Linked DNA regions of Mus musculus: regions 1 and 2 are each reported to be linked to region 3. Evidence: microRNA targets listed by miRTarBase, many of them from high-throughput screens and not tested one by one. Region 3 holds a microRNA gene; each other region holds the end of a gene's coding sequence.
The links. The annotated mature microRNA mmu-miR-324-3p reads CCACUGCCCCAGGUGCUGCU and lies in region 3 at 4,672-4,691, shown strand. An mRNA with a match to its seed (bases 2 to 7 or 8) in the 3' UTR can be bound and repressed. Matches are read on the target gene's strand: a 7mer-m8 pairs with bases 2 to 8, a 7mer-A1 pairs with bases 2 to 7 and ends in A, and an 8mer does both.

Region 1: miRTarBase lists Fndc5 as a target of mmu-miR-324-3p. The part of its 3' UTR that is shown has no 7-base or 8-base seed match.
Region 2: miRTarBase lists Susd6 as a target of mmu-miR-324-3p. Seed matches in the 3' UTR shown: 7mer-m8 at 2,954-2,960.

The regions. Positions count from the first base shown.
Region 1 is chr4:129,141,225-129,148,224 of GRCm38, reverse strand. It overlaps Fndc5 (fibronectin type III domain containing 5), which reads right to left. Exons shown (of 6, transcript NM_027402.4): 5 at 6,030-6,163; 6 at 3,632-5,690. The coding sequence ends at 5,685. S100pbp (S100P binding protein) reads left to right here. Exons shown (of 7, transcript NM_001379590.1): 7 at 1-223. Among named protein-coding and RNA genes, the nearest start is that of Fndc5, 7.7 kb to the right of the region's middle.
Region 2 is chr12:80,875,839-80,882,838 of GRCm38, forward strand. It overlaps Susd6 (sushi domain containing 6), which reads left to right. Exons shown (of 6, transcript NM_178682.4): 6 at 1,258-4,995. The coding sequence ends at 1,283. Among named protein-coding and RNA genes, the nearest start is that of Gm23298, 32 kb to the right of the region's middle.
Region 3 is chr11:70,007,424-70,014,683 of GRCm38, forward strand. Mir324 (microRNA 324) reads left to right here and starts at 4,620; the gene lies at 4,620-4,708. Dvl2 (dishevelled segment polarity protein 2) reads left to right here. Exons shown (of 15, transcript NM_007888.4): 10 at 30-97; 11 at 392-520; 12 at 597-728; 13 at 858-1,037; 14 at 1,354-1,572; 15 at 1,721-2,686. The coding sequence ends at 2,169. Acadvl (acyl-Coenzyme A dehydrogenase, very long chain) reads right to left here. Exons shown (of 20, transcript NM_017366.3): 4 at 7,208-7,260; 5 at 7,056-7,120; 6 at 6,822-6,956; 7 at 6,011-6,155; 8 at 5,749-5,878; 9 at 5,535-5,660; 10 at 5,025-5,223; 11 at 4,763-4,867; 12 at 4,261-4,347; 13 at 4,113-4,175; 14 at 3,922-4,023; 15 at 3,745-3,842; 16 at 3,583-3,655; 17 at 3,426-3,498; 3 more. The coding sequence ends at 2,873.

The sequences.
Region 1 (7,000 bases), not on the chromosome of region 3:
TGACAAAGCAAAGCTAAAATGTGTTGTTGATAAATAGTTCCTGTGTAGGTCAGGAGCCGAAATAACAATAGCTCTGCAGCTCATCGGGCTCTGATTTACTCGAGTTGTTGTCGGGGTCGATTATGAAACTGAAGTTTGGTGCCTCCTTTTTTATCATGTTTTTCCCCTTGTAGCAGTTGTGTTTAATGTCATTAAAAAGAAATAAAAGTTCTCGTCAGTGGCATATGTACTGTGGCCGTCTGTTCCGGGCTTTGGAGGAGCACTCTCTGCCTTCCTCTGCGTAGGTCGCTCTGCTTGGGAGGGTGGCGGCATTTAGTAGAATATGGTTCTGGGAAGGAGAAAGTGCTTGCTCCCTGTTCTTTTGAGGGTAAATTACAGTGCTGGGGAAGGCGTTCCAGCAGTTAAGAAATGTTGCAATTGATTAGGATTTGCAGCTACATATGGTGCATGTCAGGAGCCTGACATTGGGAGAGCCTGAAATATCCCTGTGCAGAGGGCGGGGGAGACCAGGCAGCCGGTAGCGGGCGGGAGGGCAGTGCCTTGCATTCCTTCCCTTCCCATGGATCCATGGCCGGCCACTGTGTATGTTTAGGAAACCATGCGGTTCCAGGGCATTCTCCCTTTGGAAACAGGAGAAACCAGAATTAGTCATTTGAAATTGGTGGGTGTTCTTTTTTTTTTTTTTTTAAGATTTATTTATTTATTTACTATATGTAAGTACACTGTAGCTGTCTTCAGACACTGCAGAAGAGGGCGTCAGATTTCATTACGGATGGTTGTGAGCCACCATGTGGTTGCTGGGATTTGAACTCTGCACCTTCGGAAGAGCAGTCGGCGCTGAAGCAGTCGGCGCTCTTAACCACTGAGCCATCTCGCCAGCCCCTGGTGGGTGTTCTTTTTTTTTTTTTTTTTTTTTTTTTTTAAAGATTTATTTATTGATTATATGTAAGTACACTGTAGCTGTCTTCAGACACTCCAGAAGAGGGAATCAGATCTCGTTATGGATGGTTGTGAGCCACCATGTGGTTGCTGGGATTTGAACTCTGGACCTTCGGAAGAGCAGTCGGGTGCTCTTACCCACTGAGCCATCTCACCAGCCCCCTGGTGGGTGTTCTTAACCCAACTTCTCCGGAAATTGTTGCTCCAAGAACAACTGTCCGGTGTGAAGATTGGATGTATGTGGGTAGATGCTGGAGAGAGAACCTTCTTTAAACCCCTTTATGGACCTAAGCCTCCTCAGAGCAAGGATATAAGGACAGCAATAATAGATTGTCACCTACATTAGCCAGTGCTCTTAAAATCCCAGCTCCTGCTGAGAAAATAGTAGCAACATACTTGGACAGGCTCTCTGACCTGCTGATCTTTACATTTTGTGGGTATTTTGAGACAGGATCTCACTATGAAACCCAGACTGGCTTCAAACTTAAGTCCTGCCTCCGTCTCCTGAAAGGAAGGAGATTACAGACAAGTGTTACCATGCCAAGTTTTGTCTGGAGTGTGTGTGTGTGTGTGTGTGTGTGTGTGTGTGTGTGTGTGTGTGTGTGTGTGTTTTCTAGACAAAGCCATTCTTTACTCTAGGCAAAAGCTTGCACAGAAATGTGGTAAACACTTAGCTGTTTGATATGCTTGTCTCAGTGTGTGGTTTTCTTAACCCGTGTATATGTAATGTTCCTGTCAAGTGTAGAGGACCTTTTGGTAACTACTTCCTGTTTGTGTCAGGGTTAGTTTTTACCATATATATCAAAGGTTTCAGAGACCAGGATGAATCCTCTGAAATGATGGTGTCTCATTCATCTTGTTAGAGAGAAGTTGGTAGAAAAAGGAGAAATGGACCAGGCTCATTCTCTGAGAAGCCCATCTTGAGCTTTTATAGGACGAGAAACTAAGGTCCTCCTCTTATTCCCTAAATAATCCAAAGGTTTGGAGGGAGGGGGAGGGGACAAGGGGGAGGGAGAGAGGGAGAGAGAGAGAGAGAGAGAGAGAGAGAGAGAGAGAGAGAGAGAATATGTGTGTGTGGGTACACTGGGGGCACCTGTCGGGTAAATATTTCCATTTGTCACAGAGGCAACTGGTCGATGTTGGAATTCCTTAATAAGTAAGCACTTGCCTTGTCATTCCAACCCATTTATTCCTCCCTAACAGCTGAGACACGCCGTAGATGGGAAATCTGGCCTTTCCTAGCACTCAGCCAGAAATAGGAGGAATATGACCTTTGGCAATTCAGTGACAATCCTGAAATGTATCCCCAGGTTACTATCTGAGATGTCCTTAACTTATTAACTTCAGGTTATATTTTCAAGTTTGGTTTTGTTTTTTGTTTTGTTTTGTTTTGTTTTTAATCTGTGGACTGGCCCTGGGGGTGGACAGAATTCTGTTTATAGAAGCAATACTTAAAACAAAATTTAGTAAGTAAATAAAGTATGTCTGAAGCCTCATTCATGTTTCCAATACCTGGCAGCCTTATCTCTTCGGCTTCCACCGAGGTTTCTAGGGCAGCCTTTAGTTAGTATACTGGGTAGGTAGGCTCCGGAAATCTGCATGCAGTATTGGTAGAAAGGAAGGCTACTCCCCCCTCAGAGAAGTGACTACCCGAGGTGTCAGGGTCTCCTGCCTTTCTATCCAGCATTCTTCCTGCAAGCCTGCTGTGGTCTTGGTCTCAGAGCTGCCTGGACCTTTCCCAAATTGCAAAAATCATTGGAGTCACCTGAAAGGAACAGAGGGACCACTTCTTAAATAATAGCTGTAGTATTTGATGGCAAGTAACAGTTGATTCAGGAAGAGTGAGATCCTTACTACAGGAGAAAGGACAAACCTCTAAGCTAGAAGGATAGTTATTCCCTTCGGATCCATTACGGTGTACCACGGGCATGGAGAAACTGGAAACCTTGCTCAAATAGCAGGATCTCCAGACACCACTACCTACCTCTACCCAGGGCCTCTCCGCGTCTTAGTTGAAAGCAGACGGGCAGAGGGAGCCTCTCTGGGGTCTGGTTTGGCATTCTGTCTGTTCAGGGACTTCTGAGGACTTCCTCTCCCTCTGCTTTCAGACCCTGCACATCTGACATCCTCTCGCCTGGCTCTGGACGGGAGTGTTTAAGGTGCCCTATTTACTGGTCTGCTCATTGGCTAATGGTGTCATTCCTCTGCCTGCCTTTCAACCTGCTGTTGGAATCTTAATGATGTTCCTTTAACAGCCCAGAAGAACGCAGAGCGAATACCGAATGATTTCTGCAGAAAGCTGCTTCTGCAGTTCTTCACTCCATACCCCCACCCCAGATGAGAACCTCAGCCCTCTGGCAGGAATAAGCGCCCAGCCCTCTCCTGAGAGGAAAACCCTTTGTTTTAAGAAACTGAGCAGATGCTTGCATACCTATGTGGTGAGGCAGCCCAAGCTGGGCTTAGAGAGGAGCCTCAGAAAGACGATGGTGGAGCAGCTATTTTCTTCTCCTACACGTGCACCCCCATCTGTTCGAGAATTCCCTTCCAACTCCAGCTTGGCTGGCTGGCATGTCCCTAAGAAGCTGCAGGCCAAAATGGAAGAGGACTGATTCCCTCCTCCACACATCCTGACTTGCTGCCAATTGCCAGAAAAAGAGGGCAACGTTTGGGCATTTACCAAAAGACAAGGATGTGCCTTTTCATTTGTCTTTATTTTACATTTAAAAAGTGGTTATTGCTCTAACTGGATTGGAGGTAAGGACCTCCCTTAAGGAGCCTTGGCCTTGCAGCCCCGTTCAGCAGGGATGGAAGTCACGAGACAATGAGTGGAACCTCATTCCCTCCCAGGAGGAAGCCCTTAGTATTGCTGACATCTGCCCTTATCCGTCCCTCCTCTCCTGTGCTACCCGCAGTTGGAGCGAGCACAGTGGTGGCTGACCCAGCTTGGAGAGCTGTTAGAGACCCGAATGAAGGGGCAGTCATTGGGTGATGGCTTTCAGCTCTCTGACTTGGGCACCTGTGCTCAACATTCAGTACCACAGATATTTTACCAAGCACCTACTATGTGCTGGGAACAGCCACCCACACTCCCTTGGCCACCGATGGAAGATACAGAGTTCGTTCGCCTTTCCAGTGCAGGCGTCTGGCAGCCACTGTGCTTCAGTCTCCAAGAAGTCTGCTGCCACATCAAGCACCTTTTTTTTTTTAAACCAGTAAGGGGCAGAGGAGAGGAGGGGGAGGGAGGGAGAGAGGGAGCACACTAGCTGTCACTTTACACTGCAAGCTCTAGGGAAGTAGATGAGAGCCCTGGGTAACTTTCAGAGGACCCTGAATGAGATGGCAAGATAGTGACAGTGGCTGCTCTCTGCTCTCTGCCTGTCTGGTGTAAACGGCTTTCCAGTAGCTCGCTCAGCAGTTCTTTATGCTGTAGGATGTAGGTGTTTTCAGTTATCCAAGCTGACACTGCTGCCCCAGCCAAGGCACTTCCTTTAAACGCGGGCAGTACCTTCTTCCAGAGCTTCTTAAAACTCCACACAGATGATCTCACCACAAAGATCTATCTTTGTGCAAGCTAGATGCAAGCAGACATGGAGGCCTTGGCAGAGCGGTCTGCATTCTGGAGCAAAGCCCTCCAGTGGTGTTTTCCAAGAGTCCAAACAACTGGCATCATACACATTTGCAAAGGTGCACCTTGTACCACAGATGTCCTTAGTGGCTGAATCCAGAAAGTGTCTGACAGAGTCAGGACCCTTGAAAAGCTGGCAGCACTGCAGCCTCCCTGGTACCATTGGTCTGACAGACACAGTTCCAGATAGTCTTGGTAGCTGCTTTCTCCCAGAGCTTTGTGCATTTTCTCAAAGAGGAAGCCAGTCCAGGAGAAGTAAGGCAGGACTCTCCCATGTACTTGTGCCTTCTTCAGAATGGGGCGCAGTCTTTTAGCTTTGTGGCTTATTTGATTTTTTTTTTTTTTTTTTTTTTTTTTTTTTTGCAGAATTTGGGTTTGTAGTTCAACCTCCTCTGTCAGACTAAGGTAGGGAAAAGGAAAAACTGTGGCTAGCTGTGCCCCCACCGCTTCTACAGCTCTCACCCCGTGCCCAGGAAGGACACAGGGACTAGCGGAGGATGAAGCCCATCCCTTGCAGATGGGGGTACCCATGCTTTGATGATGTTCACAGAGGGCTTCTTTGGAAACCAGGAAGGGAACAGATAAGAGAAGTGTCCAGAGCCGGTTGAATGGATTTCATGTAAGGTAGGAAATGGGACAGAGGAGAAAAGGAACAGCGGGGCTGCAGCTTAAAAGCCAGACTCTTGTCCCTCGCAGAAATAAAAAGAATAGCCCTGCCTGGAAGTCTCGTCTTTCTCCCCTTTCACACACAGCCTTCGGTCAAGCTGAGTGGCCCAGATGTGAGTCCTGTGCCAAGAGCCTTGGCACTCAGTCTACCCCGCAGCAATGGCATCCCTCCGGCTGGGTCTCTCTCATTCTGCAGCTCTGTCTCTGGGTGTAGCTTCAGCCATGGACATTGCTGAGGTACTCCTGGAGCTAGGGGTTAGTGAGAGGCTTCAGGAACTGATATCAGAAAGAGAGAAGCCAAGAGAGAGGATAATAAGCCCGATGATAGGAGAAGATGGAGGTGGGAGGAGCCGCAGAGCGGGCCAGATGCATGTTGGACAATCACCGTCAGAAGGTCCTCTCGCATTCTCTACTGTCTTCTGAGCTGCTCAGAGCAAGCACTGTAAATGTGTCATCATATCTGGTTTCATAGAAGAGGAAGTGAAGGAACAGAGGTAAGACACTGCCCCAGGCCATGTCACCCCTTCTCCTGCTGACCCAACCACAGCAACCAGGAACTCTGCCTTTCCCATTGGCTGTCTTAAAAAAAAAAAAAAAAAAAAGACACTGGCCCTTGGCACTCCGCAAAAGGCAAGGATCCAAAATCAATTTGCAGTGTCCCCTGTGTCACACCGGCAGCAGCCAAGCTTGGCTTTGCCCAGCTGCTGCCACGCCAGGTCCTGAGCTGACCCCTTCCCTTGTGCAGTCTAGGGACTACAGATGTCTAAGGACACCCACCAAGCCAAGGTGTTCCCCTCACCTTGCTGCGGAGGAGACCCCCACCCTGATGCTCCGGTGTGCTGGTTTCTGATGCGCTCTTGGTTTTCTCCTTGTTGTTATTGGGCTCGTTGTCCTTGATGATATCATACTGGCGGCAGAAGAGAGCTATAACACCTAAGGAGTTAGGCAGGGGCAGTCTGAGTTCTCGCCTTGCCTGCCAGATCCCTTCTAGGGCTCACTGCCATCCCCGAATGGCCTCTGCCTTGCTGCTGCAGCCTCCCTCCAGCCTCTGGCTCCTTTTCCCCCCTACCTGGCCCCCAGCCACCCCTATCATTGCTGCTGGGCTGGTTCCCCCACAGCATGAATCTGATCATGCCTTCCTGTTACCCTTTCTTTAAGCCTCTGACAGCTACCACAGAAATTATCACGGCATTTACTGAGCACATGCCAGGCCCTGTGCTGTGCACTGACGTAGCCAATCTCACTTGATCCTCACAACTCCAGCCTATTATTATCAGTCCCAGGGTACAAAGGGAGCACACTGGTGTGACAGTTTCCTTAACTCAAGGTCATGCCACGGTGCGGCTAGGAGGTGTCGAGCAGAACCTGCTTGCTGTCTACTATCAGCCCAGGAAGGTGGTTAGTATTCACACTGCTAACTCCAGTTCGCGGTGTGTACCGCTTCTTTCTCGATCCTTGCTGGATAGCTCTCCGCTTTCCACCATAGTAGATAAAGCCCAACAGCTCCTACTTTTCTCTCTAACATCCTAACAGACTCCCGTTGCAAGTTTGGGTTAGTTCTTTGTTTATAGTGTTATGATTACATAAACACAGTCCATGCCGAGTCTAATAATGTACCATACTTAACCCCCCTTTCCATAGAACCCTGTCATCCTGCCTTTTCTCGAGTGCCTGTTCTATGTGCCTCAGAAACCCTTCTCCCTGCCCCAAGTGCGTCTTCAACAGAATCTGCCTTCAAACACCACGGTAATCAGGCTTGAGCGTGGTGTT
Region 2 (7,000 bases), not on the chromosome of region 3:
GTAGTTGTTGATGATGTTGATGTTTTCAGAGTCAGGGCTCCTGCATAGCCCAGGCTGGCTCAGAGACTACTATCCTGTTACCCTAGCCACAAGTGGCTGATTGCAGGTGTTACTGTGTAACCTTGGCTATCTGAAACTCACTGTGTAAATGAGAACTGGTCTCAAAACTCCCAGAGATTGCTCTGCTTCTGCCTCTAATTAAAAGTATTCTGCTGGAATTAAAAGTATGTTCCATTACACCTGGTCTGAGCAAAACTTTTTGAAAGCCATATCTTGTGTTTGGTGCTGGATGAGGTTTCAGATCTGATGCAAATAGGAAGTACTCTCTCTGTTGCAAGGAGTATCAGTAGGAAAGTCAGTGAGGCCTGCACTAGAGAAATAATGGAATCAATAATTGTGGTGCTAGCCAGATATGGTGCCTCAGGCCTGCAGTCAGCATTTCAGAGGTTAAGACAAGGACCACAGTCAAGGGTAGTTTGGACTGCACAGACCCCGGCTCTCAAATACAGAAATAAGGCCAGCAAGATGACTCAGCAGAGAGAGGCGCTTGCTACCAAGCCTGATGATCTGAATTTGGTCCCCAGTCCCCACATGGTAGAATGGGAGAGCTGACTCCCAGAAGTTGTTCTCTGACCTGCAGGTATAGATGCACGTCATCAAGTAGTTCCTGTAGTGTGTGGATGTACACATGTTAAAAGGAATGATAAATATATAATGAAGTTTTTAAAAGTACAATAATGAAAAGAAATTGAACTCATGCCATGATGAGGACACCAGTGTTGTTAAGACAGATTCCAGATCTTAAAGCATGGGTCTAGCACTTCTCCCCTCTGGTGACATGAGAAGACCAAAACCCACTGGTTTGGTCCAAAATGATTTGTCCAGGTTCACACAGATGACAGGTAGCTTTTTTAAAAAGGTAGAACTTAAAGAGAACTTTGAAACTTCTTAGAGCAAGGTTAGAAAAGAATCAAAAGTTACTAGACCAGCAGAGAACAGAATCAGGGTTATGTTGGTGGGACCAGAAGGTGTTTGGATACCAGGCTTAGCATTGGGATTTTATCGTACAGGCAGTGGGAGAATAGAAGCAGAAAGGCCAGAAATAGAAAGCAGGAAAATTTGACTAGCTTAGACATGTACAGCAGAACGTTTTATTTCTTTAAATGAGCGCTGTTTGGGACTCTCTAGGGTGGAGTTGGAAGAGATACTGAGAGACACCCTTAGGTAACTGCTGTACTTCCCTCCCTGTCTCTACAGATATCCCACTATTGAAAGAAGCATGAGGGCTGCCGCTGGCCTCTGTCCTCTCTGCCCGTCCTCTCTCTTCCTGTGGGTTTGAGTACCATGTCCTCTCTAGCTGCCCCACCTGGATGCCTGAACTGCCACCTGTGTATCTCTGTGTACCTGAGAGCCTGCAGGCCACCTCGATGGATACTCAAGAAAGATTCTCACCATCTGCCCACTGGACAGCTGGAGGACCTGGCCCTTTGCCTGGCCCAGCCTTCCCATCTGTCTGTCAGGGATGTGTCTGAATGCGCTGGATTGAACCTCCCCTTCCCCTCAGCCTCTGGGTCCCTTCCAGCCAGCTCTTGGTGGCAGCCCCGCAGCCATGAGGGCCTGAGCACTGCTGTGTTTACTTGTGCCTTCCCCACCCTGTCCAGGTTCCCTGTTGTGCAGGTGGGTTGCTATCCACAGGCCTTAGTGGCTACTGCCACCTGTACCCGGGGGCCAGGCCTGAGGCTGCAGAAACAGATTGAAGAGTAGTAAGGCACTCAAAGCAGGAATAGCTCATGCTGGGTCCAGAATGTGGGTCCCTGAGCTTGCCCTGTGTGTTGACACTGATGGCGGCATCTTCCTTAACTGAGGACAGAGGTTTGGGAAGTCATGCCAAAGCCACCCAGCACTCGCTGACCAGCTCTCGTGCAGGTTCCTGGCTCTTTTGAGAGTTTCTAAGAAGCACCCAGAAGACCTGTGGGAAGGAGGAAAGGTGTCAGATAATGATTGTCTTCCTAATACTCAAGTTCTCACTTCCTGCTTCCAGCACTGGCTGCCTTGGCCTTGGTTTCTGTTCCTGGATAAGGGGAAGTTGCATGCTGTTTCCTGGACTTTGTCCTAGGTAGCTCTGGCTTCCTTGCAGCCCACAGAATCCTGAGATTTGCTGAGATGCCAACAAAAGCTCATCTGGCTTTTGGCAGTCTGGGCAAGTTGCCCCTTTTTAGGTTTGTGGTGATGGAGGGGAGGCTGATAGGTACAGACCAAGTCCCCGGTGGCTGCAGGCAGCTCCGGCAGGTCCTGAGGATCCTCCTCACCACGGTCATGTGCCTTAGTAACTGTGCCCAGGAAGTGGCCTGCTGTGCCACTGCTCCCACTCTGTTCTCTCCTCCCTGCCTTTCCACACGTCATCGTTGAAAAGCCACTCCTTATTTTCCCTGCCAGCTGATAGAGATGGTGGGCACCCAGAAACCTGAGATACAGGTCCTGGGAGTGGGAACGTACTAGCCTAGAAGAAATGCTCCAGCCATTTCCAGCCTCCTATTGCCCTGTACTGAATGCTGACAAGTCTGGGTAACTGAGCCCCACCAGGCTTCTACCATCTTGAGAAGACAGATGTGGTATCAAGGAATGTGTGTGTTTTTTTTTTTTCTTCTCATCTTTCTTCCTTTCTTCCTTTTCTTCCTCTTCTTCTTCTTCTTCTTTCTCCTCCTCAAGCCTTGGGGCTGGGAAACTCTTCAGAGCCAGTCCTGGACTGAACCTGTGATGAGCCTCTCTGGGGTGGTAAAAATAATAAAAGCCCAGTATATTTATAGTTCCTGACACAACAGGGTTAGCTCCAGGCATCTGTGGCCTCAAAAATAGGGGAATAACTTCTCCTAGCCAACTGCCTCCATTCACAATGCACTTTAGTCCCTGTCATGCCTGGCTTCCTGACACCCTCATCTCCTCTCAGGGTAAGGGCAGTGTCTGCTGTCCCTGCTGGCCACTCCCACACTAACCCAGGAGGCCAGTCCAGTGTGCCCAGTGTCCAGACAAGTATGGTTGGCTGAGGAATGAGCTGGAAAAGGTGCTTAGACTAGACGACTAGAACACCCCTAGCAGGTGCTGCCATAGGCTTACCTGGGGGTGGGTTCCAAGGCCCCAAGCCACCTCACCATGGCGCTTCTTCAGCTTCAGTGGTGTCCACCCCCCTCAAGGGAGAACTGGGCAAGGAACACGAGTCTTCTGAATGGGCCTGCCTCTTTTGCTTACTGCTCTTCTAAAATCTGAGTTCTGTTTTAGTTCTGTGTCGTTACCCTGGGCTTTTGCCCCTTACAGATTGCACTTCTTTGGCTTATTATTTAGCCTTGTAGGTGCCTGGCTTTGGCCTTGGGAAAAAGAACCTCCTGGTGCCTCGTTTTCTCTCAGCATTCATTAGCCTGCTGTGGGGAAATCACAGGCCCAGGCTTGCCTAACTGAAGGATAAAGGGCACCCGTGTTCCCCATCCTCTTGTCACAGGCTTTTAGAAGGTCTGTTCTTGAGGTCTCACACCTGTTGCTGGCATCTGTGGCTTCTTCCTGCATTGTTTTCTTCTACAGCAATTTCTTAACCATTAGCCATGTGCTGTGGTTTCTGGGGCATCTGGGCTTTGTCCATTACAGACGGACTGGGGACTTAATTGCCTTGAAGTGGAGCCTGCTAGAAACAGGGTCAGTGGCAGGTGGCAGGCGGATGGGCAGGAAGAAGCTTCGAGCAAGTGGGAAGAAACTAAGCAGCCTACTTTACTGGGCTCACCTCCAGGGACATCCTGAGACTTGTCCAAAAGAGGCAGTCAGCACCAAAGGACTTTTACACAGGGTTTTTTGGTTTGGGAGATGTTTTTGCTTTTTCATACTTACACTGACTCAATGCAGGTTTTATATCCTGGTGACTTGCTGTCACATTCTATCAGTTTTCAAGGGCCAGAATGATGAAATAAATAAATAGAAAATTCCGTCCTTCCATGCCTTAGTTTAACAGGTGAGCTCTACCTGCCCAGTTCTGTGTTTTGTGTGAGAACTGTGAAATGGGCGGAGTCCTGACCACTTTGTGGGTTCGTTTGGTTTTATAAGGCATTTCAATGTACATTCTTCAAGCACTCCATTTGCAAAGAGAACTTAAAGTCATACTGTCTTCCCCATTCATCCTGCCCTCCTTGCACCCCCAGCTTTACAGTTCTGTAAAGAAGCCAGGCTACAAGACAGACAAAGGTATATTTTTCCTGCTTTGAGAGTGGCCAAGTTGGGATAGATGGCAGTTGGCCTTTTTCCTCCCAGTCCTATCAGAGCTCTTGAGTCACTTGGCTTCCTGCATAACAATATCTCCTCTGTTCTGAGGAACATTCTAGCATAGAAAATGGAATATGCTGCAAACATTTCTAGATCCTTCCTCCCTTCCCCCTCCTTAAAGAACAAAGAAGGGACACACAGCATGCCTACCACACAGCTTCATTCCAGGTATGCTTGCGCCTGACAGTACAGCTAGAGCCTTCTCTGTGGGGCCTGCTGGGTCTCCTGCAGCCTTAGAGAATATTTTACTTGGCATTTTACTAGGCAGTTGAAAACCTAGTAGAGTTTGAACAAAGCGCACCCCACCCCACCCGTCCTTCACCCAGCAGCAGAGCTCACCATGAGGGTGCAGAGTAGAGCACTTGGATTGCCAAGTAGGGAGAGGAAGTAGTTGAGGGTTGCATGGCTGTATCCACACTGGCCTGGCTTCTTAAGGCTGTGCACCACTATGGGATCCTTTGCAGAATGGTACTCATAAAATGGTTTAAACAACACATGCTTAATTGACTGTGCAGGATGTCAATCAATCTGGGTTTGCTTTATTTTATTTTATATATATATTTTTTGGTATCCTGTACATTGCAGTGGGTATGAAGATAGTATTTTAATATTTGTACAAAGTTTAATTTAATTTTAATTGTTCTATGTATATAACTGCATTTCTAAATAATAATAAAAATTCTTATGAAGGCAGATGTGAGATGTAGTCCTTCCCAAAAATAGTTTTTCAGAACTCTAGATGATTGAAGAGAGTAGGTGTTGGGGTTAAGGCTATATGTGCTAGCTTGGCATGTGTGAGACCCTAGGTTCAGTCTCCAGCACCACAGAAGGAAGAGGAGGAGAGAGGCGGCTCAGTTGGTAGAGTGTTTGCAAGCGTGAGGACCTGAGTTCGTATCCCCAGAACTCACACAAATCGCTGGGTGTGGTGGTATGTTCCTGAAATGAGGACAGACTCAGGAATTTGCTGGCCAGCCAGCCTCCATAATTAGCTCCAGGTTCATAGTCCTTATTCAGGAAAAGATAAAGTTGGACAGCAATAGAGTGCCATCCTTTGGCCTCTGCTTGTGTATCCACACACATACACTGTACACACACAAAGAGTGGAAGCAGGCAAGAGCTCATGACTAGAGGATGCTCTAGGTCTGAAGAGGCTGCTTGGCAGGTATGGAGACGGGACAGATTCAGAAAGTGCTCATTAAGAACATAGAACCGACAGTTGGGTGATTGATTGGATCAGGGGCCATCTTGGGGGTGCACAGATCATTGAGGGCAGTGCAGAGGGAGGGTGACCTGGGAGAAGGACTACCAACTATCACCAGTAGAAAACCATTGTCTCTTGATCAACTGCTTTCCTCTCGGGGTGCCAAACACTTGAGCATCTGATCCTAATATGGTTGGGCTAATGTAGAATGTCAGTTGGGCCAGGAGGGGAGACAATTAACAAGTGCATCATGATTGATATAATCTGGAACCTAGAAGAAGATGGGATGGGGCATTCCAAGCCTTCAGATGAAACACAGCTAGGTGTGTGAAGGACCGGTACCATGAGCCTAGACAGGCTGAGCATGGTGCAGTCTGTGTCTGGGCACAAAGGACAGCGCGTGTGTATGGTACATGCAGTATAGAAAGTTGCATACTAGGCAGTGGAAAAAGGAAAAAGGAGAGAGAAAGAACTTGCTCCTGAATTTGAGGAGACAGTGACTTGGACCACAAGGAGGTAATATGGAGAATGGGGAGTCTCCACAGCCCACTAGGGATGTTTGCACACCCTATGGGCATGGACATCACCTTGGCAGGTCTCAGTTAATGCCATAGCATTAACTAAAATTGAAGGGGTTAGGGGATGGACTCTGACTGCATCTAAAGGATGGATGTAGGGATATAAGACCCTAGTGAGCTGGGTGGATGACAATAGGATCTCTAGGAAGATGGCTGTTGGGATAGAAGTTGGTAAATTCAGTCAGTACTTTTAACACAGAGCTGTTAGGTGACTGGATGCAGGGGGAAACACATCTCAGGGGTACACAGATCACTGCCAGCAGTACAGAGGAAAGCTAGACAGAACTGTAGGAAGACCAGGAGTGTGTTGTATGCCTTTAATGTCACCCTTCAGAAGCAGAAGCAAGATTGGGGGTTCAAGGCCAGCCATGACTACAGTGAGACCCTGCCATTAAAAGGGGGGAGAGGTATGTAGGTCAATGGAACAGCACTTCCCTGGCATCATCAAAGGCCTCAGAAGTTTGAACCCTAGCACCACAAGGAAAGATGTATTTAAGGAAGAAGGCAGTGAGGACTGAATTAAAAACAATTGGGAGTGGTGGTGCACACAGATCTCTGACCTACATAGCAAATTCCAGGCCAGCCGGGGATGCATAGTGAAATACTAATGACAAGCGGGGCAGTTGTGGCGCACACCTTTAATCCTAACACTTGGGAGGCCAAGGCAGAGGCAGGTGGATTTCTGGGTTTGAGGCCACCCTGGTCTACAGAGTGAGTTCCAGGACAGCCAGGGCTACACAGAGAAACCCTGTCTCGGAAAGAAAAAAAAAATACTAATGATGGTAGATAAGTAGATAGACTGATTGATTAAGTGATAATGGAGAACAGATCACAAGACAAAGAAGACAGGAACTTAGGTGTGGTGGAGATGTGTTTGAAAGAGTCAAACTCAAAATACAGCAACAGAGTTTCTATGGAG
Region 3 (7,260 bases):
CCCCTGAGCTGCTCTGCTCTTCCCCACAGCCCCATCGTGCTGACCGTGGCCAAGTGTTGGGACCCGTCTCCCCAGGCCTACTTCACCCTCCCTCGAAGTGAGTGATGCTGGGGCTGGGGTCTGGAGTTAGGAGATCTGGGGAGCGTGGGCACTTGGGAGGTTAAGGCGGGAGGATCTCTAGATGGATGAGGCCAGCCTGGGCTACAGGGTGAAACCCTGCCTCAACCAAACAAGCCCAAAAAGAGATGAGAAAAGCTGGAAGTTGTAGGGAATGTGTTCAGGAGGGCCAAGGGATGGGGGTAGACAGAACTCCTAATTCTGGAACACACAGGCCTAGTTTTCCAGGCTTGAGCAGCAATCATCTTGGTGTTTCACGTTACTCTTGTCCTAGATGAGCCCATCCAGCCCATCGACCCAGCCGCCTGGGTGTCGCACTCGGCTGCGCTGACTGGCGCCTTCCCTGCTTACCCTGGCTCCTCATCTATGAGCACTATCACATCTGGCTCCTCTCTGCCTGATGGTGAGTCTCTCTCCTTTCCCGCCTCCCTGGGTGTGTGAGGGACCTTTCGTAAGTTCTCCGTGGTCTCTCCTATCAGGCTGCGAAGGCCGGGGTCTCTCTGTCCACATGGACATGGCCTCTGTCACCAAGGCCATGGCAGCCCCAGAGTCTGGGCTCGAAGTCCGGGACCGCATGTGGCTCAAGATCACCATCCCAAACGCCTTTCTAGGTATTCCCAGGCCCTGAGCAAGGTGGCATGGGAAGGTGGGGAGGAGGCCAAAGCTGGGCACAACACAAGGTGGAGGGGAGGGGAGGAGCTGGGAGGAGAGTCTGACCTGTTTGCTGTGCTGGATCCCAGGCTCCGATGTGGTGGACTGGCTGTACCATCACGTGGAAGGTTTTCCTGAGCGCCGGGAGGCCCGCAAGTATGCCAGTGGGCTGTTGAAGGCGGGACTCATCCGGCACACCGTCAACAAGATTACTTTCTCTGAGCAGTGCTATTATGTCTTCGGGGACCTCAGTGGTGGCTGTGAGAGTTGTAAGTCAGCAGGTCTGGCTGTAGGAGCTCAGGCTGATGTGTGCCCCGGTACTGCTGAGTAGTACTGCTGAGTAAGCGAGGTACCTGAGCTGCATCCCCAAGGGAAAGAGTGCTGCACGGGGCTCACAAAAGCATTTTGGGGCTATTGGTGAGAGTCCTGGCTGTTTCTCTGCCAGAGCAGCAGAGTTTCCTGTTGTAAGCCATCATGGTCTCTGGCTTTTGTCTCGTGGGGAGCTCTGGGGAAATGGCTCAGGTTTCTCTGTTCTCAGGAATCCTGGCCTCCTAAAGCAGGGACCTCTCTTCCATTTTTTTCCAGACCTAGTTAACCTCTCTCTGAATGACAATGACGGTTCCAGTGGGGCTTCAGACCAGGATACCCTGGCACCTCTGCCTGGAGCTACTCCCTGGCCCCTGCTGCCCACCTTCTCCTACCAGTATCCAGCGCCACACCCCTACAGCCCCCAGCCTCCACCCTACCACGAGCTTTCTTCGTACACCTATGGTGGAGGCAGTGCCAGCAGCCAGCACAGTGAGGGTAAGTGACCCACTCCCACGTACCAGTACAGCCAGAGAAAGTGGGCACAAGTAGAGCGGATTCGGGGAGGAGAGGCAAGAGCAGGGACTGGGATCCTGAGGACTCTGGGCTGAGCTTCATTTTCCTCGTCACCTCTGCCCTCCAACAGGGAGCCGGAGCAGCGGGTCGACAAGAAGCGATGGGGGGGCTGGGCGCACAGGCAGGCCTGAGGAACGGGCCCCTGAGTCCAAGTCCGGCAGTGGCAGTGAGTCAGAACTCTCCAGCCGGGGAGGCAGCCTTCGGCGGGGTGGGGAGCCTGGTGGGACTGGTGATGGCGGCCCTCCTCCATCCAGGGGCTCGACAGGCGCTCCTCCTAATCTCCGAGCTCTTCCCGGGCTCCATCCCTATGGAGCCCCATCTGGCATGGCTCTCCCCTATAACCCCATGATGGTAGTTATGATGCCTCCACCCCCACCCCCTGTCTCCACAGCAGTGCAGCCCCCTGGTGCCCCTCCAGTCAGAGACCTGGGCTCCGTGCCCCCAGAACTGACAGCTAGCCGTCAGAGCTTCCACATGGCCATGGGCAACCCCAGTGAGTTTTTTGTGGATGTTATGTAGGGACCCATCTTGAGGCCACATTGGGTCTGTGCCCTTGGCCTGGCAAGTTTCAGCCTGGTGCCCTTCATAGTGCCTGGGCTCAGCCTGGCGGCTGGTGCCTACCAAAACGTTTTTGCCACTGTGACTCTCACCAGCAGTGCCTGGTCCTTCCCCCTCTTCCTCGGGGGTAGATGGGGACCTTTGGTTATTTTTAGCTTTATTTTTTATAAGCTTTTTGGGGGGTTAAAATAGACTTTCTTATATTTGGGGGAGTATTTTTTTAAATAGACAGTTCCTCTTTTATATGGAGAATCCCTTCTAACCCCAGAATATGACCGCCACCTCCAGGTGCCTAGTCAGCTCTCATGTTGAGGGTGGGTGGTGGTCAGTGGTACCCTGGGAAGAAGAAGGTGTGGGCTGGGTACCCCAGACAGCAGTCCAAGGAGGCTGGTGGTGTGTTGGGGACTGTGTAGCTGCCTTTGTTACTCTATTTATTTTAGTCACTTGTACAAAACACCAAATAAAGCAAATAGAGGCCAACTCCCCAAGCCTCTGGCTCCTTTCTTTGCGAGGCAGGCAGTGGAGAGGAGGGAGCAGTGACATTCACGGCAGACAGTGACTTGGTAGAAAATTTATTGTTAAGGCAATAAGTACTCCATCACCCCCATAAAGGGTTTTGGCATCAGAGAAGGCACATGACCTTGCCAGGGCCTGATTGGGAGTCTCAGATTCCCAGGGGGTTACCGGTGACCAGGCCACCATTCTCCACCATGGCCTTGGAGATGCTTCTGAAGTTCCGGAAGAGCTCCTGATGCTGAGGGCTGGACTGCAGACTGGCCATGTTTTCTCGGATCCGAGTTGCAGCCTGGGGAGAGGGAAGGGGAGGGACGGTCAGGCCGTCCTGTACTGGGGAGCTCCAAGGCCCACCTGTACTGGGGAGCTCCAAGGCTCACCTCAATGCACCAGCTATCACAGAGCATTTTCTCATGCTGTGCCGTCGGGTAGCCCTCACTCAGGGACCTTGAGGCTCTGTGAGGAAACAGAGGTTAAAATGATCCTGAGTGCTGGTGTTGGCCCAGCTCCTCTGTGGCTCTAGCCTGCCAAGCGTCCCTCGCTGCCGCCTTACCTGGACAGAACCACCACCATGGCATAGAGGTCAATGGCGCCGTCCGCCAGTCGCTGCAGCAGGAACTGCTCGTCTGTCAGGTAGATGAGGGTGGGGCTGTTAGTCGGAGGGAGGGAATCAGGGAGGGAAGGGGGTTGCAGAGCTCACTCACTGACAATCCCTTTCTTGTGTTTCACCAGCTTGGCCTCCACCACGGTGGCAAATTGATCCAGAGCCTGCACTGCCTGAAGAGACAAGAGTCACAGACAGAGCTCAGGAGAGGAAGGCAGCGCACAGCCACCGCAGGCTCTGCTTTAAGGCTCACTCACCAGTTCACCACTGCGACTTAACTCTGGGTGGACAATCCCTGACAGACTCAAACCACTGCCGATTCCTGTCCTCCTGAGAGGAGATGGAAGAGTGACTGGTCAGTTGCGGCCTCCCATCTTGTTTGACCCTGACTCTGACCCTGGCCCCGGCCCATGAGGTACCGTCTCAGCTGTTTGCCTGCTTCTCCCATCAGGAGGCCAACGTTTCCAAAAGGATTCTTCAGGGCATTGCCCAGCCCAGTGAGTTCCTTTCCTTTGTCCTGTGGAGAGAAGGGGGACGGCGACAGTGAGGACTCAGTGTCCTCCCCAGCTGCTCTCTCTCATCCTCCTTCCTCTTACCATACAGCCTTGCAGAGCCACAAACAGTCGAAGAATGTCATTTGCCCCTTCAAAGATCCGGAAGATTCGAATATCTCGGAGCACACGCTCCACCCCTGGTTCCTGGCACGCAGGAAGACACAGAAACCTCTGTTGAGATGTGCCTGTCCACTCTGAACAGATGCCCCCCCCTGCCGAGGAATACTCTGTACCTTCATGAAGCCCATGCCCCCCATTATTTGGATGCACTCATCTGCCACTTTCCAGGCCGCCTCCTGAGGACAGAGAACCAGATGAGTTGGATTTTTGAGCTGAGGTCCTAATCTGGACTCCGCCCTCCCATCACACCTGGGTCCTCACCGAGCAAAAGATTTTGCTGATGGCGGCTTCTATCTGGAAGTCTTTGAATCCCTGGTCCATGTTGGCACTCAGCATGTAAGCCATGGACTAAGGGAGCATGGTCGGGACATGGGGAAGACAACAGGGAAGGGCTGCATCAGACAGAATGGCTAATGCTCAGACCTTCAAGACCAGTGCTGATCTACTCCTCCAACCCTTGAATTCACTTTAGCCTCCTGGTCAGGTCAAATATGTCCAATATGTGACCCTCTGGTATATCAGGGGCTTCGAGGCTTCCGACTTTGTAAAGGGGTGGGTTAAAAGTCGTGTTTGGTGCATCTGGGCAGCATTTAGCAGAGCAGCACCACCCTCCAGAAGAGAACTGACTATGCCTCCTCGCATCCCCTAGGGCATTGGTGTAAAGCTGGAGACCCACTGCCCCAGGTGCTGCTGGGGGTTGTAGTCTGACCCAACTGTGAAGAAAGCCATAGGGCTCCAGGGAAGGGGCCCAGGAGGCCCTTACCTCAGTCACATACTGCAGAATAGCCATCCGAGCCAGCTTTTCCTGGATCACCCCAAAGTTGTGAATTTTGTCCCCAAACTGGGTACGATTAGTAGCATGATCAACCTGCAAGAGGGCGCATGTTACCCCACTGTGGTTCTTCAGTTTCCACCTGGACGGGCTGGAGGCCTAACTGTGCCGATGGTCGAGTGTGCATGTGTGTGTGTCGGCGCTCTGAGGCAGTCAGGGACATGTGCTAGCTAGGGACTGGGCTGGGACTCACCGCCTTGGCAATGAGGGATTTCATGGTGCCTGCGAGGGTTGCAGCCATCCCGAATCTTCCGTTGTTGAGGATGTTGACAGCAACCTTGAAGCCATCTCCCACCTCTCCTAGCACATTCTCTGATGGCACCTTCACTCCATCAAAGTACACCTCTGACGTGTTAGATGCTTTGATGCCCATCTTCTTTTCAGGGAGCCCACTGAAAAGGCAGGGCAGGAAAGTTGAGGTATGAACAGGTTGCTGTGGGGGAAAACGGCCTTTTCGGGTCTCATGATCAGGGGAGAACTCCCCAGACTATAAAAAGGATACAGGGCACTGCCTATGTGCCCCAGGGGCTACGGATATCTAGCTATGGCCTGTTAGCCTGTGTTCCCCCAGTGGAAACAAAACTGCTCACCTCCTGTGGGTGCCTCTTGTACAGAGATAGCCCCAGCGTGGCCTGTATTGACTATTTGCTCTTGAGAGCCCAGTGCTGTCCCCATCCTTGATTCTGTTTTGCCCCATACTCACTGGGTAACCCCTCCGAAGCTCCTTTCCACTACAAAAGCTGTGATCTTCTCTTTCACGGCCCCCGTGGCTGCATCTTTAATTGGCGTCTTGGCAAAGACAGTGAAAATGTCAGCCAGGCCCCCATTACTGTGGAAGAGTGAGGTGGTTAGTATAGGGTTTAGAGCAGCAGGGTCAGGCCACTGGGCTGAAGGGTAGAAGAGAAACGGAAGATTGCCTGATCCAGATCTTGCTCCCATTGAGAGTGTAATATTTTCCACAGGGGCTGGGTATGGCTGAGCTTCGGATGGAGGCTACATCGGATCCACTCGAGGGCTCTGTTAGGCAGAAAGCAGCCAAAGCCTGCCCTGTGGGGGAGAGAACGGGCTCACTGGGGATCCTGACCACCAGAGTTGCACCCCCTCATCCCCAGGCAGTTCCTTGTAACACCGTGAGCAGTGTCACACTCCTTACCCCTGGGTCTCTTAAGGTTGCCTTACCAGATGCCACTCTGGGAAGGTATTTTTCTCTCTGGGCCTTTGTGCCATAGAGCAAGATGCCTTTGAAACCGATGCTCTGATGAGCTCCCAGGGTAACGCTAACACCAAGGTCATGCATGCCCACAATCTCTGCCAAGCGAGCATACTGGAGGGAAAGGAGGCATCTGGGATTGTAGCTGGCTGCACTGAACTTGTCCTCAACAAGAATGGGCAGCAGGGCAGACCTGGCCTGGGGCTTGGAGCATCTCTACTCTGAGCATGGGGAGTGGAGTGGGTTTGGACAGGGCACAGGGAGGCTGGCCATGGGGCTCCCAGGTAGGCTGCTTCTCTAGCATGAAACCCTGGAGTCTTTCCTAAGGAGACAGGAGCAGGAACATCAAAGGGCTTAGATAATCCCCCCCCCCCCTTTTGAGGCAGTTTCATTTTGTAGCTCCAGCTAGCCTGAAACTTTGTGGGTTTCCCTGACTGTCCTGAAACTCCCTCTGTAGACCATGCTGGCCTTGAACTCGAGATCCGCCCGCCTCTGCCTCCATCCTCCATGCTGGGATTAAAGATGAGTGCCACTGTGCCCAGCTGCCCTTGGTCTTGATGGGAAGGTTGCCTGCTGTGTTGCCTCACACAGTCCCCAAAGACCTGGGAACCACAGTTAGGTCCACGGTCCTAGTGGGCTGCACACAGATCATGTTTCAGGGGAAAATGTGTGAGAAAAAGGGCAGGCAGGTAGACACTACTCTGGCTACTTGCTTGGCCCTAGTGGTGAGTCTACCAAAACTGGAGCACTGTGGAATGTTAACCAGGGGGATCCTCTCACCTGGGTATTAGAGAGGCCCAAACCACCCAGCTCGCTGGGTACTTGCAGGCCAAATGCCCCCAGTTCCTTGAGTCCCTGCAAAGTGTCGTCCTCCACCTTCTCCAAGGCGTCGTTCTTGGCAGGGTCATTCACTTCCTGAGCAAGGAATAGGAAGAATCTCATATTCAGAGGCTCCTTTAAGCTCCTTAGCATCTTACTTAGCCCAGGAGGGGCTGAGCTCTGGTCATCCCTTACCTCAAAGAACCGGGCCACTGGTCCCACCAGCTCTTTGAGAAATTGTGCCTGTTCTTCACTGAGCACTGTATAATGGGAGAGAAGAGCAGGCTAGTCAGGCAGAGAGGGCTCCCCTGCCCACACTGTCAGTGACTGACTAAGCCTTTACTTACCAGATGGGTATGGGAACACCTGATCAATGGTAAGCTGGCCTTTGAACATCCCC